Linked DNA regions of Pelodiscus sinensis. The protein of the gene in region 2 purifies or fractionates together with the protein of the main gene of each other region. This does not show direct contact. Links are inferred from orthologs where the notes say so. Each region holds a gene or a part of one and is shown on either strand. Other genes may lie near its edges.

The links. Proteins that work in one complex are often made in the same cells at the same time.
Region 1: the proteins of NIPSNAP2 (region 2) and HADHA purify together in Homo sapiens (affinity purification with mass spectrometry; 3 studies listed by BioGRID and IntAct, with this or other methods). This does not show direct contact. The link is inferred for Pelodiscus sinensis from reciprocal best matches to the Homo sapiens genes NIPSNAP2 and HADHA.

Annotation. Positions count from the first base shown.
Region 1 is NW_027465862.1:357,397-368,327, reverse strand, and holds the start of HADHA (trifunctional enzyme subunit alpha, mitochondrial), read right to left. Parts: upstream 4,788-10,931; 5' UTR 4,721-4,787; coding exon 4,642-4,720; intron 2,651-4,641; exon of another isoform or gene 2,636-2,650; coding exon of another isoform or gene 2,593-2,635; intron 1-2,592. Other genes in the region: HADHB (trifunctional enzyme subunit beta, mitochondrial), read left to right, coding at 8,862-8,928, 9,282-9,323, 10,514-10,610. UniProt on the Homo sapiens protein: Mitochondrial trifunctional enzyme catalyzes the last three of the four reactions of the mitochondrial beta-oxidation pathway.
Region 2 is NC_134731.1:20,286,069-20,295,928, forward strand, and holds the start of NIPSNAP2 (protein NipSnap homolog 2), read right to left. Parts: upstream 4,055-9,860; 5' UTR 3,988-4,054; coding exon 3,890-3,987; intron 1-3,889. Other genes in the region: MRPS17 (small ribosomal subunit protein uS17m), read right to left, coding at 6,816-7,106, 9,267-9,389. UniProt on the Homo sapiens protein: Protein involved in mitophagy by facilitating recruitment of the autophagy machinery required for clearance of damaged mitochondria.

The DNA of each region.
Region 1 (10,931 bases), on a different chromosome or scaffold from region 2:
TTTAGCGGGGGTGCCGACCCAGGAGGCAGGCCATGCCTAGCCCGAGACAACCCCTAGAGGGGAATGGCTCTCTAACCAGCGAGCAGGGTCAGTCAGGGATTCATCAGGCACCCCGCACTTCGCTTCCTTGGCAAAGCAGCACGTGTCCCCTACCCTCAGCCACGTCATCTTGGCTCAGAGCTGCGCCGTGCACTTTGCCCTACATTTCTGACTGATCTCTTCAGGCGAGGGAGAGACAGACCTTTGCCCTGCACTGCCACACGCCCAGGGACGCAAGCCAAGTCATCGGCTTTGGGAGAACGGACCACGTGTGTCGCAGTCCAGCTCCCTTCCGAGGCGGTGCGGGCAACGGACCCTCGGCAACTTCTTACACAGAAGTTCACCTCCTGGTCTCGCTGGCCAGGCCGGTATTTAAGAGGATTTTCGACCAACTTTGAGACCTGGATTACAAACCCCATGTGAAATCTTTGACAGCCCTACGAGTCTGGCCTCCAGAGGGCCTAGGCTTCCAACCACCAGGCCGCCAGCCAGCCACATGTGATGACCACAAAATACAGTGCTCGCATTGCCAGCACCCCCGCAACTGCTGCAGCAATTAAGTCTGGAGGCCAGGAATAAGGTGATCCAGCTTGTCCTTTGGAGTAAAACAGCACATCACAGTGCAGGAGATGAATAGCTGAGACTAAATTACAAGACCACCACTGGTAGCTTCCCCAACTCTGCCCGCCCCTGCAGTCACAGGCAGAGTATAGCGAAGTCTGGGGAGTGCGGCACAAGTCACTAACAGCTGTGCTTTTAGATGTAGAAAAAGGATTTGCATTTGCAGGGCTTGACAAACGGCGGCAAAACCTACTCGCCAGCCCTGCACTGTGCATGAGCAAGACCCGCATTGCGCATGTGCGCGCCGCCGGTGAATGCTGCGACTGGCTGAAATCTACTCGCCACAGGCGAGTAGATTCAGTGATTCGTCGAGCCCTGTGCATATGCCAACAATACTCCAGACTTCACCGAACAGGCCTACCTTCTGAAAGATACAGACTCTTATTTCATGAAGTTATGCAAGTAACTCATGGGCTACATTCACACACACACACCCCACCCCAAGTTCCATGGTCTAACAAGCTTTTTTTTCTTAAGTTCTCCTTAAAGACTTTCTGGGAAGTCCTATAAATCCTGGTCTCTACAACCACTTTCAAGAAAACAGATGAACCGTGCACAAAGCTAAAAAGGGTGCTAATAACCTGGGACAAAACGTGCTAACCCTCCCCCTTCCTTTGCCTGCACACAGGAGCGGCCTGAGGCCGACTGCAGCAGCTGGCGCCCTAGGCGGGGCGGCGCGATTGGCGCCCCGCCTATACAGCCGTCAATGGCCGTGATGTCATCATCGGACACCCGGGCCAGCGGCGCCCTAGGCAGCTGCCTAGCTCGCCTAGGCTCACGAGCTGCCCCTGCCTGCACACTATTTAGATTGCAACTCTGGGTCAGGGACCTTGTCACTGCTGTTCTCCCAAGACACTTAAACGTTTTGGCAGCCTAGAAATAAATATGCAAAAGGAGTGACATACTTTTGATGCACGTTATCCTGGAAAATTTGGCTTTATCAAGTTGCACAGGCCAGAGCAGGCTTGGAAAACAATAACCAGGCTCAAAACACAGCGACAATACAAAGTGGCTTAGAGGCAGTTTACAATAATAGCACTGCTACTTTCAGGAGCCAATCATGTACAACTAGCAGCATGAATTTCTACAAATGAAGATTACAGAAAAAACCCTCTCGTACTTTTTAAACAGAACACCAGCAGGCCGCCTTATGGTTTTCACCATTATACTGGAACTAAAAGACTTAAACGAGATTTACTGTTCATGACTTATGTTTTATAGGGCAATGAAAAGAGATTAGTCAGTTTCATTTCTGTTGATAGATTGTAGTAAATTCCACTTTTAAATAGATTTCCAACACTGCAGGGGAAAAGGGTTAAAAACTGTTTCAAGTCTTTAAAAAAGAATAATTAAATATTTACTCACTGGGTTTTGCAATAGCTTGTTTTTACAATAAACTAATTTTGGAAGGTAACTGATTACAGCCTCTGTGATACTTTGCACTTCTCTAGCGCTTTCCATTATTGGTTACCAAAAATGTGACAGACATTAATGAATTTAAGCATCACAAAGGGGGATGCACGAGTTACTGAAGACAAAATTTAATCAAAACTACTCCTGGTGAGAATGAATGCAGAGGAACACCCCCAGCTGGACTTAGGCACTTAGAGACCAGAAGAAATACTCACTCACTTGTAAAATGATCAACAGGAACTATGTGGCGCTATTATTTTGCAGAACAGAACTGGATGTTTATAGATGGGAGATGGAGGCAGGGAAGTTGCCCACCTTGAAAACCACTAGGCAGAAAGCACTATAAGGGCAAAGTATTATTAGGCCAGTGTTTAGCTCACAGAACTTTCGCTGAGGGGAGCGGCTCCCAATGTTGGCTGGTGTGCCGAGGGAGGACACTCCCCCACACCATGACACAGCTGCCCCATTTTCTCCACTCTTGGTCTCTTTCTGTGCTCCTCTCCCTGCTCCCTGACTCACCAGGAGACTGCATGCTGCTTGAGGTGGGAACAGCAGCATCCATAGGTGGCTCCGTAGTGCCAGGGCTCGTGATCTGGAACTAAGCTGAACATCAAGGGAGCAGAAAAGAAATGCTTGGGATGGCCCATGTTTCCTCCCTACACCTGTGAGCTGAACAAGGAGCTGCAAGTGGTGCAAGACAGACTTTCAATCGGTGCCTGTTTTACTAGCAGCTGTGGGAATGTGTGCAACAGGGGTGGCCCCAAAACCATGGAACTTTCCTCATATGCGCTGCTCTTGGCCTCAGTTTTTGCCCTGCCACTGCAAGTACTTGCCCATCCCCCCCGCAAAAAAACCACCCCAAAGTTTGCCAAACACTGATTCAGGGGCATGAAGAACAAAAGACTATTCCAGGCAGACTGCTATCAACTCTGAGGAACTGGGGGTCCAACCAACACATACTTTCAAGGGAGGGCACTGTCAGCCAAAGTGAGGGTGTTCAATATTGGTTAATTGAATAGTTGAGTAACCTCATGAATCCTTATCAGTTAGCCGACTATTCTAGAGTCCCTAGGGGGCAGGGCTGGAAGCCAGTGCACTTCAGCCCCACTCCTGAGGAGTCCCCCTGCCACTCTACGTGGGGTGTCGGGGGGAGCCGGTCCACGAGGAGAGCCAGTTTAAAAACCAGCCTGTCGCCCTGTGTTCCTGCCTCTGATACAGAGGCAACAGCGCAGGGTGGCAGCAGCCCCTGCCTGGTGAGGGGAAGGAAATGCGTGTAGTCTATGGCATTAACTTATAAGCTTTTGCTTATCAGATAATCAGTTAATCAACTGCACTATTATATCCCTAGTGCGAATCCTGAAAACAAGGAACTACAGACACCAGGCTAGTGGGCTAGATGGACCTTTGGTCTGACCCAGTACAGCCATTCTTATGTTCTTACCATGGTGTGTACAATCGTGTATCATTCTGACAGTTACAAGTGTAAATTCAGAGGAGAACCCAGCTCTCTAGCTGTGCATTCGCAGAAGGAAACCCTCACCGCAGGAATATGGGGAGCTCAGTGCCTGGGGCACCTCTGCTGAGCAGAAAAAGAAAGGACCAGACGAATGACAACTGCAGGAGAAGGACTGGGTCACTGAATTAAGAGCCCACTTAATTCCACAAACCAACAAACTCTGATCAGATGTCAAATCATTCCTGTGACTTGACTGAAAGCAGTCAGACTAACGGCTTGTCTATACTGCTGTGCTACCAGGCTGTCAGGTCACTGAGCTGTAACTTTCTTGTTCAGGGGTGTGACAAAGCATCTCCCGAGCACAGCAAGTTACAGCGCTGTGAAGTGTGGGTGTAAACAGGCTCCCAGCACTGGGAACTATGCCCCAAGCATAGAGGCTGTTCATCTAGAGCACTGGGAGAGCTCTACGAGCACACTGCCACAGCCACCTTCCCGCATCAAATCCATTAACTGCAAATGATCTCCGCTAGTCACTAACATTCATCACCCGCCCCGGGAAATGAACAGGGAGCAGCAGCACAACCTGAGAGCCCCAGGCCAGGGGTTTGGGGGAGGTGGGATAGCCGCCTGGGGAGAGCTTGTTGCCGCAGCAGGCGTGTGCCGGGAGCCAGGGTGGCTGGGGGCCAGGGTGGCCGGGGCGGCCGGGAGCCAGGGTGGCCGGGGGCCGGGGGGGCCGGGGTGGCCGGGGGGGCCGGGAGCCGGGGGGGCCGGGGCGGCCGGGGATGCTGGGGGCCGGGGGGGCCAGGGTGGCCGGGAGCCGGGGGGGCCGGGAGCCGGGGGAGCCGGGGGGGCCGGGAGCCGGGGGGGCCGGGGGGGCCGGGGTCCGGGAGCCGGGAGCCAGGGCCGCGGCAGAGCCAGAACCCCTGTGACCCGACTGCTGGCGGGCCGGGCTGCTGCGTGTGGCCAGGCCCCGCGCTGAGCTCCCCGGGCTCCTGCTGCCAGCCCCGCCCGGCCGGCGGCCCCAGACAGGCACTCGGCGGGGAGCGCAGCACGGCGAGCCGGGGCGGGGCGGGGCTCGGCAGCGCGCCCCCCCCCCCGGCCCAGCCCCTCACCGAGGCGGCGGGCCGCGCAGTACTTGGCGGCGGCCGTGAAGCGCGTGAGGCTCCCGATCGCGCGCACCGCGGCCGCCATCTTGCTCGGGGAGGTCGAAGCGGCGGCGGGGCGGGTCCTTGAGGCGCGGGGCCTTCGCACCCCCCAGGGCTGCCCGCGGCGCTGCCTGATTGGCTCGCCCAGCCCAGGCGCGGCGCGGGGCGGGCTGCCTTCAGGCACCGGCGAGGGCAGCTACGGCAGGGCCGGCGGGGGCTTTCCTGAGGCAGGCACCGCCCAGGGCAGCGAGCGGGGCCGCCACCGCGTAGCGACGGTAACGGCCGCGGCGCGAGCCCTGCGGGTCCCTGGCGCGTGGCCCCGCCCCGCCCCGCGTGGGGGAGGGGATCGCTGCAGGTGGCTGGAGGGGGAGGCGCTGCCGGGGACGGGGGACTACGTGGGGGGGGGGCTGAAGGAGGCGGGGCCTGGCTGCAGGAGGGGCAGGGCTGTGAGGGGCAGGGGGCTGAAGGAGGCGGGGCCTGGCTGCAGGAGGGGCGGGGCTGTGAGGGGCAGGGGGCTGAAGGAGGCGGGGCCTGGCTGCAGGAGGGGCGGGGCTGTGAGGGGTAGGGGGTTGAAGGAGGCGGGGCCTGGCTGCAGGAGGGGCGGGGCTGTGAGGGGCAGGGGGCTGAAGGAGGCGGGGCCTGGCTGCAGGAGGGGCGGGGCTGTGAGGGGCAGGGGGCTGAAGGAGGCGGGGCCTGGCTGCAGGAGGGGCAGGGCTGTGAGGGGCAGGGGGTTGAAGGAGGCGGGGCCTGGCTGCAGAAGGGGCGGGGCTGTGAGGGGCAGGGGGCTGAAGGAGGCGGGGCCTGGCTGCAGGAGGGGCAGGGCTGTGAGGGGCAGGGGGTTGAAGGAGGCGGGGCCTGGCTGCAGAAGGGGCGGGGCTGTGAGGGGCAGGGGGCTGAAGGAGGCGGGGCCTGGCTGCAGGAGGGGCGGGGCTGTGAGGGGCAGGGGGCTGAAGGAGGCGGGGCCTGGCTGCAGGAGGGGCGGGGCTGTGAGGGGTAGGGGGTTGAAGGAGGCGGGGCCTGGCTGTAGGAGGGGCAGGGCTGTGGGGGGCAGGGGGCTGAAGGAGGCGGGGCCTGGCTGCAGGAGGGGCGGGGCTGTGAGGGGCAGGGGGCTGAAGGAGGCGGGGCCTGGCTGCAGGAGGGGCAGGGCTGTGAGGGGCAGGGGGCTGAAGGAGGCGGGGCCTGGCTGCAGGAGGGGCAGGGCTGTGGGGGGGGCTGAAGGAGGCGGGGCCTGGCTGCAGAAGGGGCAGGGCTGTGAGGGGTAGGGGGCCGAAGGAGGCGGGGCCTGGCTGCAGGAGGGGCGGGGCTGTGAGGGGCAGGGGGCTGAAGGAGGCGGGGCCTGGCTGCAGGAGGGGCGGGGCTGTGAGGGGCAGGGGGCTGAAGGAGGCGGGGCCTGGCTGCAGGAGGGGCGGGGCTGTGAGGGGTAGGGGGTTGAAGGAGGCGGGGCCTGGCTGCAGGAGGGGCGGGGCTGTGAGGGGCAGGGGGCTGAAGGAGGCGGGGCCTGGCTGCAGGAGGGGCGGGGCTGTGAGGGGCAGGGGGCTGAAGGAGGCGGGGCCTGGCTGCAGGAGGGGCGGGGCTGTGAGGGGTAGGGGGCTGAAGGAGGCGGGGCCTGGCTGCAGGAGGGGCAGGGCTGTGAGGGGCAGGGGGCTGAAGGAGGCGGGGCCTGGCTGCAGGAGGGGCAGGGCTGTGAGGGGCAGGGGGCTGAAGGAGGCGGGGCCTGGCTGCAGGAGGGGCGGGGCTGTGAGGGGTAGGGGGTTGAAGGAGGCGGGGCCTGGCTGTAGGAGGGGCAGGGCTGTGAGGGGCAGGGGGCTGAAGGAGGCGGGGCCTGGCTGCAGGAGGGGCAGGGCTGTGAGGGGCAGGGGGCTGAAGGAGGCGGGGCCTGGCTGCAGGAGGGGCAGGGCTGTGGGGGGGGCTGAAGGAGGCGGGGCCTGGCTGCAGAAGGGGCAGGGCTGTGAGGGGTAGGGGGCCGAAGGAGGCGGGGCCTGGCTGCAGGAGGGGCGGGGCTGTGAGGGGCAGGGGGCTGAAGGAGGCGGGGCCTGGCTGCAGGAGGGGCGGGGCTGTGAGGGGCAGGGGGCTGAAGGAGGCGGGGCCTGGCTGCAGGAGGGGCGGGGCTGTGAGGGGTAGGGGGCTGAAGGAGGCGGGGCCTGGCTGCAGGAGGGGCGGGGCTGTGAGGGGCAGGGGGCCGAAGGAGGCGGGGCCTGGCTGCAGAAGGGGCGGGGCTGTGAGGGGTAGGGGGCTGAAGGAGGCGGGGCCTGGCTGCAGAAGGGGCGGGGCTGTGAGGGGTAGGGGGCTGAAGGAGGCGGGGCCTGGCTGCAGAAGGGGCGGGGCTGTGAGGGGTAGGGGGCTGAAGGAGGCGGGGCCTGGCTGTAGGAGGGGCAGGGCTGTGAGGGGCAGGGGGCTGAAGGAGGCGGGGCCTGGCTGTAGGAGGGGCGGGGCTGTGAGGGGTAGGGGGCTGAAGGAGGCGGGGCCTGGCTGTAGGAGGGGCGGGGCTGTGAGGGGTAGGGGGCTGAAGGAGGCGGGGCCTGGCTACAGAAGGGGCGGGGCTGTGAGGGGTAGGGGGCTGAAGGAGGCGGGGCCTGGCTGCAGGAGGGGTAGGGCTGTGAGGGGCTGAAGGAGGTGGGGCCTGGCTGCAGGAGGGGTAGGGCTGCTGGGGGCTGAAGGAGGCGGGGCCTGGCTGTAGGAGGGGCAGGGCTGTGAGGGGCAGAGGGTTGAAGGAGGCGGGACCTGGCTGCAGGAGGGGTAGGGCTGTGAGGGGCAGAGGGCTGAAGGAGGTGGGGCCTAGCTGCAGGAGGGGCAGAGGGTTAAAGGAGGCGGGACCTGGCTGCAGGAGGGGCAGGGCTGTGGGGGGGGCTGAAGGAGGCGGGGCCTGGCTGCAGAAGGGGCAGGGCTGTGAGGGGTAGGGGGCTGAAGGAGGCGGGCCTGGCTGCAGGAGGGGTAGGGCTGTGAGCGGCAGAGGGGTGAAGGAGGTGGGGCCTGGCTGCAGGAGGGGTAGGGCTGTGAGGGGTAGAGGGCTGAAGGAGGTGGGGCCTGGCAGTAGGAGGGGTGGAGCTCTGAGAGGCAGGGGGCTGAAGGAGGCGGGGCCTGGCTGCAGGAGGGGTAGGGCTGTGAGGGGCTGAAGGAGGTGGGGCCTGGCTGCAGGAGGGGTAGGGCTGCTGGGGGCTGAAGGAGGCGGGGCCTGGCTGTAGGAGGGGCAGCGCTGTGAGGGGCAGAGGGTTGAAGGAGGCGGGACCTGGCTGCAGGAGGGGCAGGGCTGTGGGGGGGCTGAAGGAGGCGGGGCCTGGCTGCAGGAGGGGTAGGGCTGTGAGGGGCTGAAGGAGGTGGGGCCTGGCTGCAGGAGGGGTAGGGCTGCTGGGGGCTGAAGGAGGCGGGGCCTGGCTGTAGGAGGGGCAGGGCTGTGAGGGGCAGAGGGTTGAAGGAGGCGGGACCTGGCTGCAGGAGGGGCAGGGCTGTGGGGGGGCTGAAGGAGGCGGGGCCTGGCTGTAGGAGTGGTAGGGCTGTGAGGGGCAGAGGGCTGAAGGAGGTGGGGCCTAGCTGCAGGAGGGGCAGAGGGTTGAAGGAGGCGGGACCTGGCTGCAGGAGGGGCAGGGCTGTGGGGGGGCTGAATGAGGCGGGGCCTGGCTGCAGGAGAGGTGAGCCTAGGGGCTGTAAGGGGCTGGGTGAAGCTGTGGGCAGGGGTGGCCTGTGCTCTCACCCTGGAGCTGATCCCCAGGAGGGCTCAGGGGGCAGAGATCCCTGCTGGCCCAGGCACTTGCATCTATTGAATCCCGGGGTGGTTCCCCAGGTCGGCTGGCGCCTGTGGTGGGTGACTGATCGGGACAGAGATGAGCTTGAGTAAAGGCTGGGTGCCAGCAGGAACAACCCCACAGCAAGTTCCAGCTGTTGTGGCGTCTGTGGGGGGGCATTTTAAAATGTGTCTGTCCAGGACCCCTTGGAACATACTGAACAGCCCTGATCCTAGAAGAGGAATGAGTCACTATTTACTTGTATTAGTCAGGCCTAAAGCTCCAGTGTTAGGCACAGCTCAAACACCACAAAAAGTCCCTCCCCCAGTGGATACTGGGTTGACCTTGATGGGTCTTCTCTATCTCCATTGCCTTTGGCTGCATGTGGACTGGCTAGCTTGCCCATTCTGAAACCTCTGAACAAGTTAATTGCTGTCCTTCCTCTCCTGCACTATTCTAGATTTCAAAATGACTTCCATGTTGAGCCGTGCTATCAGACGCCTCCCTGCTACCTCTGCGTGGGCTTTCAGATTCTGTAAGTGTTGTTCTTGTTAAAAAATTAAGTCAATGCCATGTAAAAGAACGCTGTCATTTTGCTGTTTTTAAAAAAGAGGTTAGAAGTAGATTCATGGGTGCCACCGGCACCCAAGTCTCCTTGCCATTTTATGATTTTTATGACCACTTTTCCTGTTTTAAAGTGTTTTTTTCCTTGTTGCTGTGCAAAACTCCACAAACTGGCTATACGCAATGCATACAACATTTTTTTCTGTATGTGCAGTTTCCATAGGTTACTTGTCTACATTTTTCTTACTATTATTACACATTTTTAAGTATTATAGGCAACTTTTTTGTTCAGTAGTTGTTCTGACTCTGTGTTTTGTGTTTTAGCAGCAAGACCCTTCAGTTGCTCGCCTCTGTCCCAAGCCACAGGTAAAGTGAATGCACTAAAACTTCAATGCTAGGTGCCTCCTCATACCTAGCCCAGGCTGTAATATAACAGGTTGGTCTGGGTACCACTGAGAGTGACAAAGCAGGGTGAATTGCTCAAAACCAAGGCTACTTACAGGCCGAGACTGGGGTCCTTCCCTATAAGGCACCAAACCAGTCACACAGAGCACTTCAGCTGCCACTCTGGCCAGTAAGAAGCCCCATGAGCAAACCCCCTTAGACACATCAGTATTCCCTGTGCCACAACCAGACCCACACTTTATACTGGCGAGAGGTTATAAAACCCAATCTCAGCAACTCCGAACACGTTCTCCAAGTCCCAAAGAACCAGTCACAGTCCCCAGTCAGTTTATACCTCGGCTTTTACCCAAAAGAGCCTGCTATGCCAATCCCTTAGAATCTAAAAATCTAAAGGTTTATTAATTAAAAAAAAAAAAGGTTGATAGTGAGATTAAGGAGAATACATTTCAGACATCGATCACCAAGTTTTTGATGCAGGCTCTTAGCAGAGATGTAACAAACTGCCAGCTTAAAAGTCCCGAGTGCATCCTGTGTCAGGATAGGTCAGCAAATAGTTCCTGGCCCTCTCTTCATAGCAAAGGTGCTTCTGGAATCAGGAGCAGGATTGAAGACAAGATGGAGGCGCCCTCATGGTATTTTTATAATCTTTTCCTGGATGCTGGTGCCTCCCAAAATGTGCTGATCACATGACCCACAAACCAGTTTCTTTCCTCAGGCAAGGGGCCATTGTGTGCTCCTCAGGTGTCAGTTGTCGACACTCTGTGCAGTATCTAGACAGTGCTTGGTCCTGCCACGAGGGCAGGGGACTGGACTTGATGACCTCTGGAGGTCCCTTCCATCTATAGCAGTGTTTCTTAAACTTTTTAAGACCGAGAAACACCAAACAATTTTTTTATGAGGCACACCAAGGATTTTTTGGGGGGGAGGGGGGAAGTTGTTGAGGGGACAAAAAAGGTTGCCTGCCCCTTTAAGAGTGGCCATTTTGAACTCTGTTGTTCTCCGCGGCACACCTGTGTGCCAGGAAACACAGTTTAAGAAACACTGATCTGTAGTGTTCTTTGATTCTAGTAGTATTTATTTTGTAAATAAAATCTTGCTCCAGACTTGCTCAGATTCTAGTCAGTAGCTGTTTACATATTCTCTTCAAACAGTCCAGCCCAAAAGTAAGAAAACCTTAGCCAAAAATGGTGTGAAGAATATCGTGGTGGTGGACGGGGTCCGCATTCCATTTTTGCAATCTGGCACCTCGTAAGTATGAAAAAAAATCACACCCCTTTGCTTTGGTTAATTGTGTGGAAAGATACAGGTAGAATCTGAACGGAAGCCGTTGGGCTTGGTATAGTTGTACCTCTCTAGCTGCACTCACTTTGCTCTGTGCCTGATGTGTGCTTGCTCGCTGTCCTGACATTGTAGATACTCTTACGCATAAGAGGAAAATGTAACCAATGGAATAGCTGCAAGGAGCTAAACAACTTGTTTTTCTGATTGTCCCTGGGTTTCTAGATTTGGTGGTTTGTTCTGGTCCCTTCCTTGGGTTGTGTTTGTAGTCTTGACAAGATTGTGGGTTTC
Region 2 (9,860 bases):
TGTTTTGGGTTTTTTTAAGTGTTGAAAAGACCACAAAGCTACCATATGATATACTCTAGCTTTATTTACGCCAATATGAAAAATCTTGTATTAAAATGAACAGCAAGCAACAGCAACCTGAAAAGAGCCTATTGTTTAATGCTTCTTTTTTATAATGTACAAAGGTAGCCTGGATCTTATAGTATTTTTCTTCTTCCCAATCCCCATTAGAAGTATTTGCTTGAAGCTTCTCCCCTTTTCTTGGAAGATTGTGGAAGGACTTTAAATTACTTTATTCTCGGGGATGTTAGTTATTGGCTAGGAAAGCCATAGGAGAGATTACAACTTCCAACTGTGAAATTATCTTTTAAGTCCCCAAAAGACTGAAAATATTCCAGAAATAATATTGGGGCATAAAATATTGTGGTGGTTTATATTGCTTAACCCAGCATTTCTCAAACTGTGGTTCCCGACCCCTCAGGGGTCACGAGCAACTCAGAGGCTGGTTGCAGTAATGGGGAGGGGGGTCGCGAGCAACTGAGAGGGGGGGAGATCATGGTATCACAAGTCTGAGAACCCCTGGCATAACCAAGCAACATGCTGAAGGAGGCAGAAGACCCATGTGACAGCTAAGAAAAGATAGCTGGGAATGAGGTGACCTTCCACACAAAAAAGAAAATCTCTCGCTGTTCCACTCCATGAAAACTACTTATCTCTGACCCCATTCAAACACACTACTGCACAGAAAACTAAGCAGAATACTACTGACCAAAAATATTTACAAGGATCTTCTGTGCCAGGAATACTGCATGGCAGGCAGAGCTAACCTGTCATCTGAAGAAGTGGATTGTGCCCACGAAAGCTCATGATACCATCTACATGTTTTATTAGTCTTTAAGGTGCTACTAGACTATTTGTTGTTTTTTAAGTTTTTCCTGTTACAGACTAACTCGGCTAACCCTCTGAAGTAGTTGATCGGTAATCCTTTTGTATCCCATTGCCAACGCAAAAAGGCTCAGAATACCACTGTAAGTCAGGCCATCTATCTATCTACTATAGGGGCTGATAAGAACTTACCTTCCCTGAAAGGTGTCATGAGAGTTAGCTGTTTGTAAAGCATTCTGACAATGAAAGTCCCCAGTAATCATGTTTACTTTCTCATTTGTGAACATTACCACTACAGCAGAAAAGACATGATGGGTATGGGATACTATTGGATAACCAAGTTCTCTGCTAGTAGGATAGACTTACAACTTTGTTGTTTGCCACATAAAAGAAGGAGATAGTTTTCTCTTAATTTCTTAATGAAATGGTGACCTTAATAATACTTTGCAATTGCATGATACTTTTAATCCAAGAACTTCAAAGAACTTTAAGAACATGGATTAATAAAGTGTTACTATACACTTGCTAAGGAGCATTCGCAACATTTTATTCTACTCTAATCTTTTTATTAGTTCAGAAACATTCCCTACAGTAGAACTTAAGTGCTTTATACATCTCATTTGGAAGAATACTCCAGTCTAACACAGTGGTTCCCAACCTTTTTTATGCTGCAGACCAGCAAACCCATTCACAAACTTTTTTCATTATGCAAATAATGAATATGCAAATAAAATATTACCTGTCCACTGATCTCCAACCCAGCCCCTTGCTCCCCAGTGCTTAACACCCTTTAATCCCTTAACCTCTGACCCCTACAACCCATGCCAATACCCTCTTGCCTTGTAACACCACCATGCCCTCACCCAACACCCCTTTGATCTTTGCCCCCATGCCCACCTATCGAGCATTGCTATTACTGCTGCGTAGGCAGGGAGAGCGGCCGTTGCCAGTGCATGCTCTCCCTCCTCCTTCACGCCCTCTCCCTCCCCAAGTGCACCTTGCGCCCCCATGGGTAGAATGGGGGGAGGGGGGTGCAGAGCTCTGGCCGGCTGCCATTACCAAAGGTGTTGGGGGACACCCTCTGTTCTGCCTCCTGAGCCCCAGCAAAAGTTGGCAAAAGCAGCTGCGCAGGCAGGGGAAGCGGCCGCTGGTTGTGCACATGCTCCCTCCTCCTTTGTACCCCCTCTTCCCCCCCAAGCAGGGAGGGGGGAGGAAGAAGGAGGAAGGGAGGCTCCTCCAGTTCCGCCTCAGCCACCATGGCTGCTCCGGCACCTGTGCTGGTCCATGGACCAGCAATTGGGAACCACTGGTCTACGGACTGGCAATTGGGAACCACTGGACTAACAGACTCTTAGATTCCAAGACCAGAAAAGACCACTGTGATGATCTAATCTGAGATCCTGTATAACAGAGGCCACAGAACTCTCTCAAAATAATTCCTAGATTTCTTGTAGAAAAACATCAAATTTTTATCTAAGAATTAGAGGGGTAGCCGTGTTAGTCTGAATCTGCAAAAGCGGCGAGGAGTCCTGTGGCACCTTAGAGACTAACTGAAGTGTAGGAGCATAAGCTTTCGTGGATCTTTGCCAACAAAAGCTTATGCTCCTACACTTCAGTTAGTCTCTAAGGTGCCACAGGACTCCTCGCTGCTATCTAAGAATTGTCAGTGATAAAGAATCCACCATGACCCTTAGTAAATTGTTCCAGTTGTTACTCTAATGGTAAAACATTTATACCTTATTTCCAGCCTGACCCTTACTGTTTGGGAATGTATCTAAATTGTAAAAACTAAATTGTAACACAGGGTAAGAAAATGTTACATCATAGATAAAGGATAGGTATATGGGGTTTCCAACAGCATAATATTTTTGGTTTTCTGGGAGCCATGTTTCTCACAGCATTACAGGCAACCTATCACGGAATCATTTTCAATCCTTTTCTTTAAGGCACAGCCTGACTTTACTGGTTATGGTCCCAATCCCACAAATTTAGAGTACTTAGAGAAACGCATGTGTGTGTTGGCAGGAACTAGACCTACAACTGCATCTGCTACGTAAACAATTGTTCTATATACAATTGTACATCCAGACTGGGTTGTAAAGAGAAAAAGTGATCAGCCAATGTGTGTACATATTTCAAACTGTTAGTGACTCTTGTAGAGAAAGAAAGAAAGAAAGAAAGAAAGAAAGAAAGAAAGAAAGAAAGAAAGAAAGATCATTGATGCCCAAGATTTCAATGGGACACTATTACTTTAAAACAATTCAACAAAACACATTTCCTTATTTTGGAAGCATCATTGGTACCCTGTTACTGAAAGGAAAATTGAAATTTTTAAAAAGCAAAGTTTAGTTTTCACTGTTTTGCTTCTGGCATTACCCTTATATTAAAAAATAATAAAAGACTAATCAGTTTCTAATCAATTTCACCTTTCTGTTCTCATATACTACCTCAGTGCTACAGCAGGCAGCTGAAAATATTGATTTAAATGGGATTCAAGACACAGGGACATATTACCATCCACCAAGTTTTCTTTTAGTCCACAACCTAGATTCAATGTTAGGACAAATCCTAACTAGCTGCCCTGATGGCGTTTCCCCGGAAAGAGAAAATGCTGAACGGAGCAGTCACTGCAATCCAGCCGACAGGCTTTGATTCCTGTTCTAAACACACATGAAAGCTGGGGCACGTACAACATAACCCAGGCTGCACGGGTCCATTCCAGCCGGGCTCAGCGGGGCGGGTCCCCCGGGGGCGTTGGGGCAGCGGGGCCCTGGCGCAGATGGCGGGAGGCCTGCGCTGCAGGGGGTCGAACGCAGGCTGCGGGGGGAGCCCCCAGTGCGGGCGGGGTACGAGGACAATGCGGGGGGGCTGCCCGCGGGCGGCCCCTGGGGGCGCGGCGAGGCCCATGACCTTGAGGGAGACCCCGGGCGAGGGGCGCTTACTCGGGGCTGAGACTTTCCCGCCCCCGCCCCCGCGGCTCCACTTACAGCCCGCGAGGGCCGGGCCCCGGGGCTGCCGCGCTCACCTGAGGGCCAGGCCGCCGCGGGCCGGGAGGCGAGGCCCGGCCCTGCCCAGCCCGCCGGCTCCCCCCAGGCTCCGCCGCAGCAGCACTCGGGTCGCCATCTTGCTCCGGCCTCTCAGTCCAGCGCGCCCCGGCCTGGGCGAAGGAGACGAGCCTGCAGTACCCGCCGGCGGCCACCAGGGGGCCTGGCACTGCGAGGGGGAGCAGCCCCCTCCCACCCGACTCTTAACCCCTTGGCTGCCGGGCTCGGCCCCCGCGTGCCTGCGGGTCCAGCCCACATCCCACGAGCCAGGCACCTGCGCCGTCAGGCGGCGGAGGGGAGCCCCATTTGCACCTGCACATCTCTTAAAACCTATTTTAACCCACCCACTGCAAGTCCCTGGAGGCTGATGCCACTGCCTGTCTTCCTCTCTTGGGGATAAAGCTACCAGTGTGTGTCTCTTTCTCTCCCCCTCACAGGGTAATAATTCTGTGTCCTCATCAACGTGTCAGGGAAGAAATATTTACCTGCATAGAGACCCAGGGCTGCCCTCAGCTCTGCCACTACTAGCTGCCAGCCTTGGCAAGCCCTTTCACCTTTCTTTGCTAGTTTTCTCCTCTGTAAAATAAGGGCAATACTTTGCCTATGCTCAACTGCTTATGTGTTTGTAATCACAGGGCCTAAGGTTTTACATGCTATCATTAGTTACCATGGTCTCTAGTCTGTAAGACAAAAAACACAACTGTGTGTACTATGAAAGCTTACAGTGTAATTGTTGGCTGCTCTTTACACTGTTGTTCCTTTCATGGAATGTGTGAGAACTCTGAACATGAAATATGTGTACATCTATCTGTAACTTGTTACCACTCCAACAACTTACTGGAAATTAGAATGCTTTTTTTTCCCTGGTGTGCTCCTGTTGGAAACCCTGTAGGTGCAGATATTAACATACAAACTTGTTCTAGTAATATACTGAAGTAACTGGCAAAACTCACTGTCATTTTCAGTGATCAAAACAATATTGGTTTGACTTGGTAGTCAATGACAATTTCTTTTTTTTCCTCCTGGAGAAGAGAACCAGAATTGGAATATATCTTCAGTGTGAAGTTAAGACATCTGTATAAGATGATTTGGAATTAACACACACTGCAGAGAGACACATGTAAACTTGAATATAAAGTGAATGTATTCCTTGCAGGGAAGGAAAGCAAATAAATTAAGACAGGCAGGACTTTAACCACCTGTGCTAGAATAGAAAGAGGCACAAATAATTTCATATTCCTGAGGAGGAGCTGTTCCCAAGTCTTGCTTTATCAGTAGCACCTCATCCACGGAGACTGATTCTCTAGAAGTTCAGGCTGAAATCCTAACCCTGCAAAGTGATGAGTGCAGGTACTCTCATATACTCATTTGAACAGTCAGTGAGTGATGGAACAGATTCCTTCCCCCAACTCTGGGCCTGACTTCTATGCAAGAGTGTCATATGTGGTCTTACGCTATCCCTTGCACAACATGTGTTTTGGGGATGGGAGAGGATGTCACAAGCACCAGACCTACTCTAAATTTATGCAGTGCTATAGTGGCAGTTGCCCAGAATCCAGGCAACAAAGGCAAGTGTAATCCTTAACTACTCTGAACTACATACTTTTTGCTATAACTTTTGGAGACTCTGTTCTTGCATCTCTTTGCAGGATTTCCCTAATTACATTTTCTTAAGAAATTAATATTCCAGACAACTTTACTTCAACTCTTTTGCATTACATCATGGGATTTTTCTAATATTCATGTTTTTAAATTTTTCCTATTTGCAGAACAATACTTAGACACAGTAAAACAGATATATCCTTATGTTTGTGCTGGACACACAGCTTCATAAGGGAAAATGTAGATATCTGAATTGAGAAGAATCGCATCCCCTTCTCAAATATGGATGTTACCCCATCTATTATTTAAGAGCTCTCATAAAAGTGAATAATAATAAAAAAAAACTTTCATTTCCTTCCCATTCCTCTTTGACCTCATGGGATGCTGGATTATGTCCCTTCAGACTTTGCCAAGCTATGCCACTGTTTCACTGTAGCCATGTGTCAGTTTCACATGGGAACCCTTCCTTTAGCATGGCTTGTGATAAAAGCAGATAAAAGTTTATAACAGGTGGCTTAAATGCACATAGATTCTATTACATTACACACAAGGTTTATGAAATGTTCTAGTAGGCTTACTGTTAGTCTAGTATCACAAATATTAAAATGAAATATCATGCATAAACAGCTGCCTATAGAATTTCTACACACTTTTTAAAAACACTTTTTAATTTGTTATTTTAAATATAAGGCTATGAACCACAGCAGATTTAGGTTCAGAATTCAGACAGTCAAACAGGAGGGAAAAAAACATGCTCCCACAAATATTAAACATATATAGATTTATCCTCTTAAACATTTTAATAAAGAACAATTTTAGCCACGTTAAGTCTGTATCTGCAAAAACAACTGAGTCCTGTGGCACCTTACAGACTAACTCCAATATGTAAAATCTTTAACTCCATTCCAGTTCATCTGATGAAGTGGGTTTTACCCATGAAATCTTATGCCCTAATAAATATGTCCAAGGTGCTATAGGACTCTTCATTATTCTTAATTTTGTGATTAAGGTGGCAATTTTGACATTCTTGCTAAAACTGGGGCAAAACTGTGTGTTAAGAAAAAGAAAAAAAAACCCACCACTACCATAGGGCTTAATGTGGAGAAAATTCAAAACATAGTTATTTCTAATTGATAATTTCCCACAATATTAAAATAGCTATATCATTTCAATGGTGGAAGTAATACAGTTTATTGTTTCTAACAAATTCATAGAAAGATTTTACATAGAGACAGTGGGCCACAACCAATCCCTCATGTAAAGATGAAAGTTAAAGCCCTTAGTTTACTGGTCTCTTCCCACCCTTCATTTCTCTGTTGAGGAAACATTTAGCTCTTGAAGTTTTTCACTTAGATAGGTGGTATCTGCCTCAGTTAGACTTTCTGAATCTGTTAGACTTTCCAGGAACCTAGTTCCTGCACAGGCCTTTCCAGTCACTGGGTCTATGACATTTCCAACCTTGAAAACAATCTCAGCCAGTTCATGTTTCACATTTTTGGTCCTCCGCTCAGGCAAAGCTTTTAGAAGAACAATGTCTCCGACTGCACACTGCTGCAATGGATCATGAGCGAAATAAGTTTTTCGCTTGTTAAAGAACTGTTGGAGAAAAGGAAATCCAGGCATTAAGACTCAAAAGTAAGATGACCATTTTGCTTTTGAACTTAAGTTGATTGAATTGAAGGTTTCACTATCAAAGCCAATAGATCTGCATAGCTGAGCTCACTGAGTTTTTTCCCAAGCAAAGCCATTGGTAAATGTATATGGTACACCTGAAGAACTGGGCAAATGTGACATTAGCCCTTCTTCACCCAAGATAGGACTTTTGTCCTAAGTCAGATCAAGGCAAGTTGGGGCCAGTTCTTTATAGCTACCTTAACAACTTTGATTATTCACTAACCCTGATTTAGTACTACTTTTGAGTGCTAGTTACCACTGTTTTATCATCTCAGTCCCTTGCATGCATTACATTCAGCAAAATGACTGTCAAGGCTCTTCCAAATCTCTTAATAATTTGCACAAACTGTAGAGGGGAAGAGCTCAGGAAATTACAGGAAGCCTTCACCATTCACAGTAGGAATGTAAGCGAGTAGTCAACTAGTCTACTAATAATGTAATGTAACAATGTAGTTGATTACCATTAACCTATAAGCTTTTGTTTATTGGTTAATTGGTTATAGACTACACACACTTCCCCCACCCCCACATTGGGGCTTGGCTCAGTCATGAACACTTATGGGTTACTTGACTTTTCTAGGCTATTTTAGGCTTATGGGTTAGTTTAGTCAACACTCACAACCCTTCCCCCCCCCCCCCCCCCCACTGCCTCAGTATCAAAGGCAGCAAGTGGGGGAAGCAGGAGCTGGTGCTGGGAGAAGCCAACTTAAAAGCAGTCCCTGTCCATCGTGGCCCAGGCTGGCTGCAGACAGAAGCTGCTCTGACAGCAGCCCCTGTCCCCTTGAACCTCTGCCTGGCTCAGTCCTGGCTTGTGCTGGGTCCAGGACCTACCATGAAGAGGGGGTAGGTCCCAGACCCGGCACAAGCAAGGCTGTCTTCCCTTACTGACTAATCAAGTAGTCAATAGAATTTTTATTAACCATATCTTAACACCCCTAATTCACAGGGGATATGTTCTTAAAATCACAGCGAATGGCAAACATGTGAATACCAGGGGGAAGTTCATGACACAAAATAATCACAATTTCCACATAAAACAATAATCATGAATTAATAAACACATGTAATATCTAAAATTTCCTAGTACTGTATCACTGCAACTTCCATTTCCCTTTTAACTTTCAGGCTCCTTTACTAGAGTACACTGAAGAAGCGTCATCACACTGCATCATGTGCTAGCGCTGGTGCGGTGCAGTGCACCTTGAATATGCAAAACCACAGTTAGCAAAATCCTAAATGGTGAAGGCTTCCTGTATGTAAGGCTATGTCTAGACTGCAGTTTTTCTGGGATACCTCTGGGAACGCATGTGTCCAGGGAACGCATCTGCTTTTTTGGAACAGTTTCCGAAAAAGCAGGTGCGTTCTTTTGGCATCCCTATATTCCTCTTGGTGAGAGGAATAAGGGATGTTCCAAAAGAGGACTTTTTTCCTAAATTTGGCCCCATGTAGACAGGCCAAATTTCAGAAAAGCCCCTTCCAATACACAGAAGTCCTACCACTGTGGTATTAGTGTTGCACCAATATCTTCCATATGAGCACATTTATCTTATAAAATGCAGAACTGAATAAAATCCTGACTCTAGTCTTTAATAATAACTGAGGGAGGCTTATCTTACAGTGAGATTACTGTATCACTGACTGATGTTCAACTGATACAGTGATTCAAATGCTAAAGAATATTTCTTCAATTAATTATTCAAAGTGACCAGGAAATCGATATAGTAGGCAATTATTTGACTATCGTTATAAAATTTTTTTTATAACTTCCACCTTTTAAAATGGAGCAAAAGCCCAGAAACTTATAAATATTTTAAAAAGACTTTTCAAATTCATAGCACAAAATCAGCAGTCCATCTACCCAACTCAGATCAAAATGTGTGTTAAGCAGAATAACTGAAGGAAATACATTTAATAGATAATTTGACATGTCAAATTTTATGTTCTAACACTGTTTTTTACTCTTGTAATCATAGTTCATCAATGATTATTAATTATCTGACAATGTAAACAATTTACAATGTATTTCAGAGCGTCAATATATATTCCAATAGTGTATACGAAAATGATCTTGCAAGATATTACCTTTAATAAATAAGGATCCAGCACAAGCCTTGTCACTCTCACTTTAGCAGTTTTATGCATTTTAGTTCCTATTACTTTTCCTACTATCCATTTTGCATGAACAGCTCCACGTAGTCCAGACATTGTTTAGCTATGGTCATCCAGAGTCTGGAAAGAAAGCTGAAGTGTTAAAAAAAAAAAAAAAAAAAAGTAAGTGGTTTCTGATCAGTGCCAAAATGAAAATCTGCTCCTAACCCAAGGTATCTGTTAAACTTTTAACAACAGTAGTGAGTTTCCCGCATTCTCTTTCCTCACTCTTGTATCAGAACCTACAAGAAAGATATGTGAAGGTAGATCAGACTCTACATCCAATGTTGAATACACAACTGAAGCAATGATTTCAGGGACATAGACTCAGACCTCTTGTCCACTGAAGAGTGAACTGCACCTAATTCATTTTGTATGTCCCAAATAGTTATCTGATTAAAATACCAGATCTAAATTCATAACATGGAGATGACCTAACCAATGCCAAATTTCTGTTGTCTTACAATTTTACCAAACATTATAGTAATAGAATGATGTAGAACAGTGAAAGAGCACAACTTCCCCTGC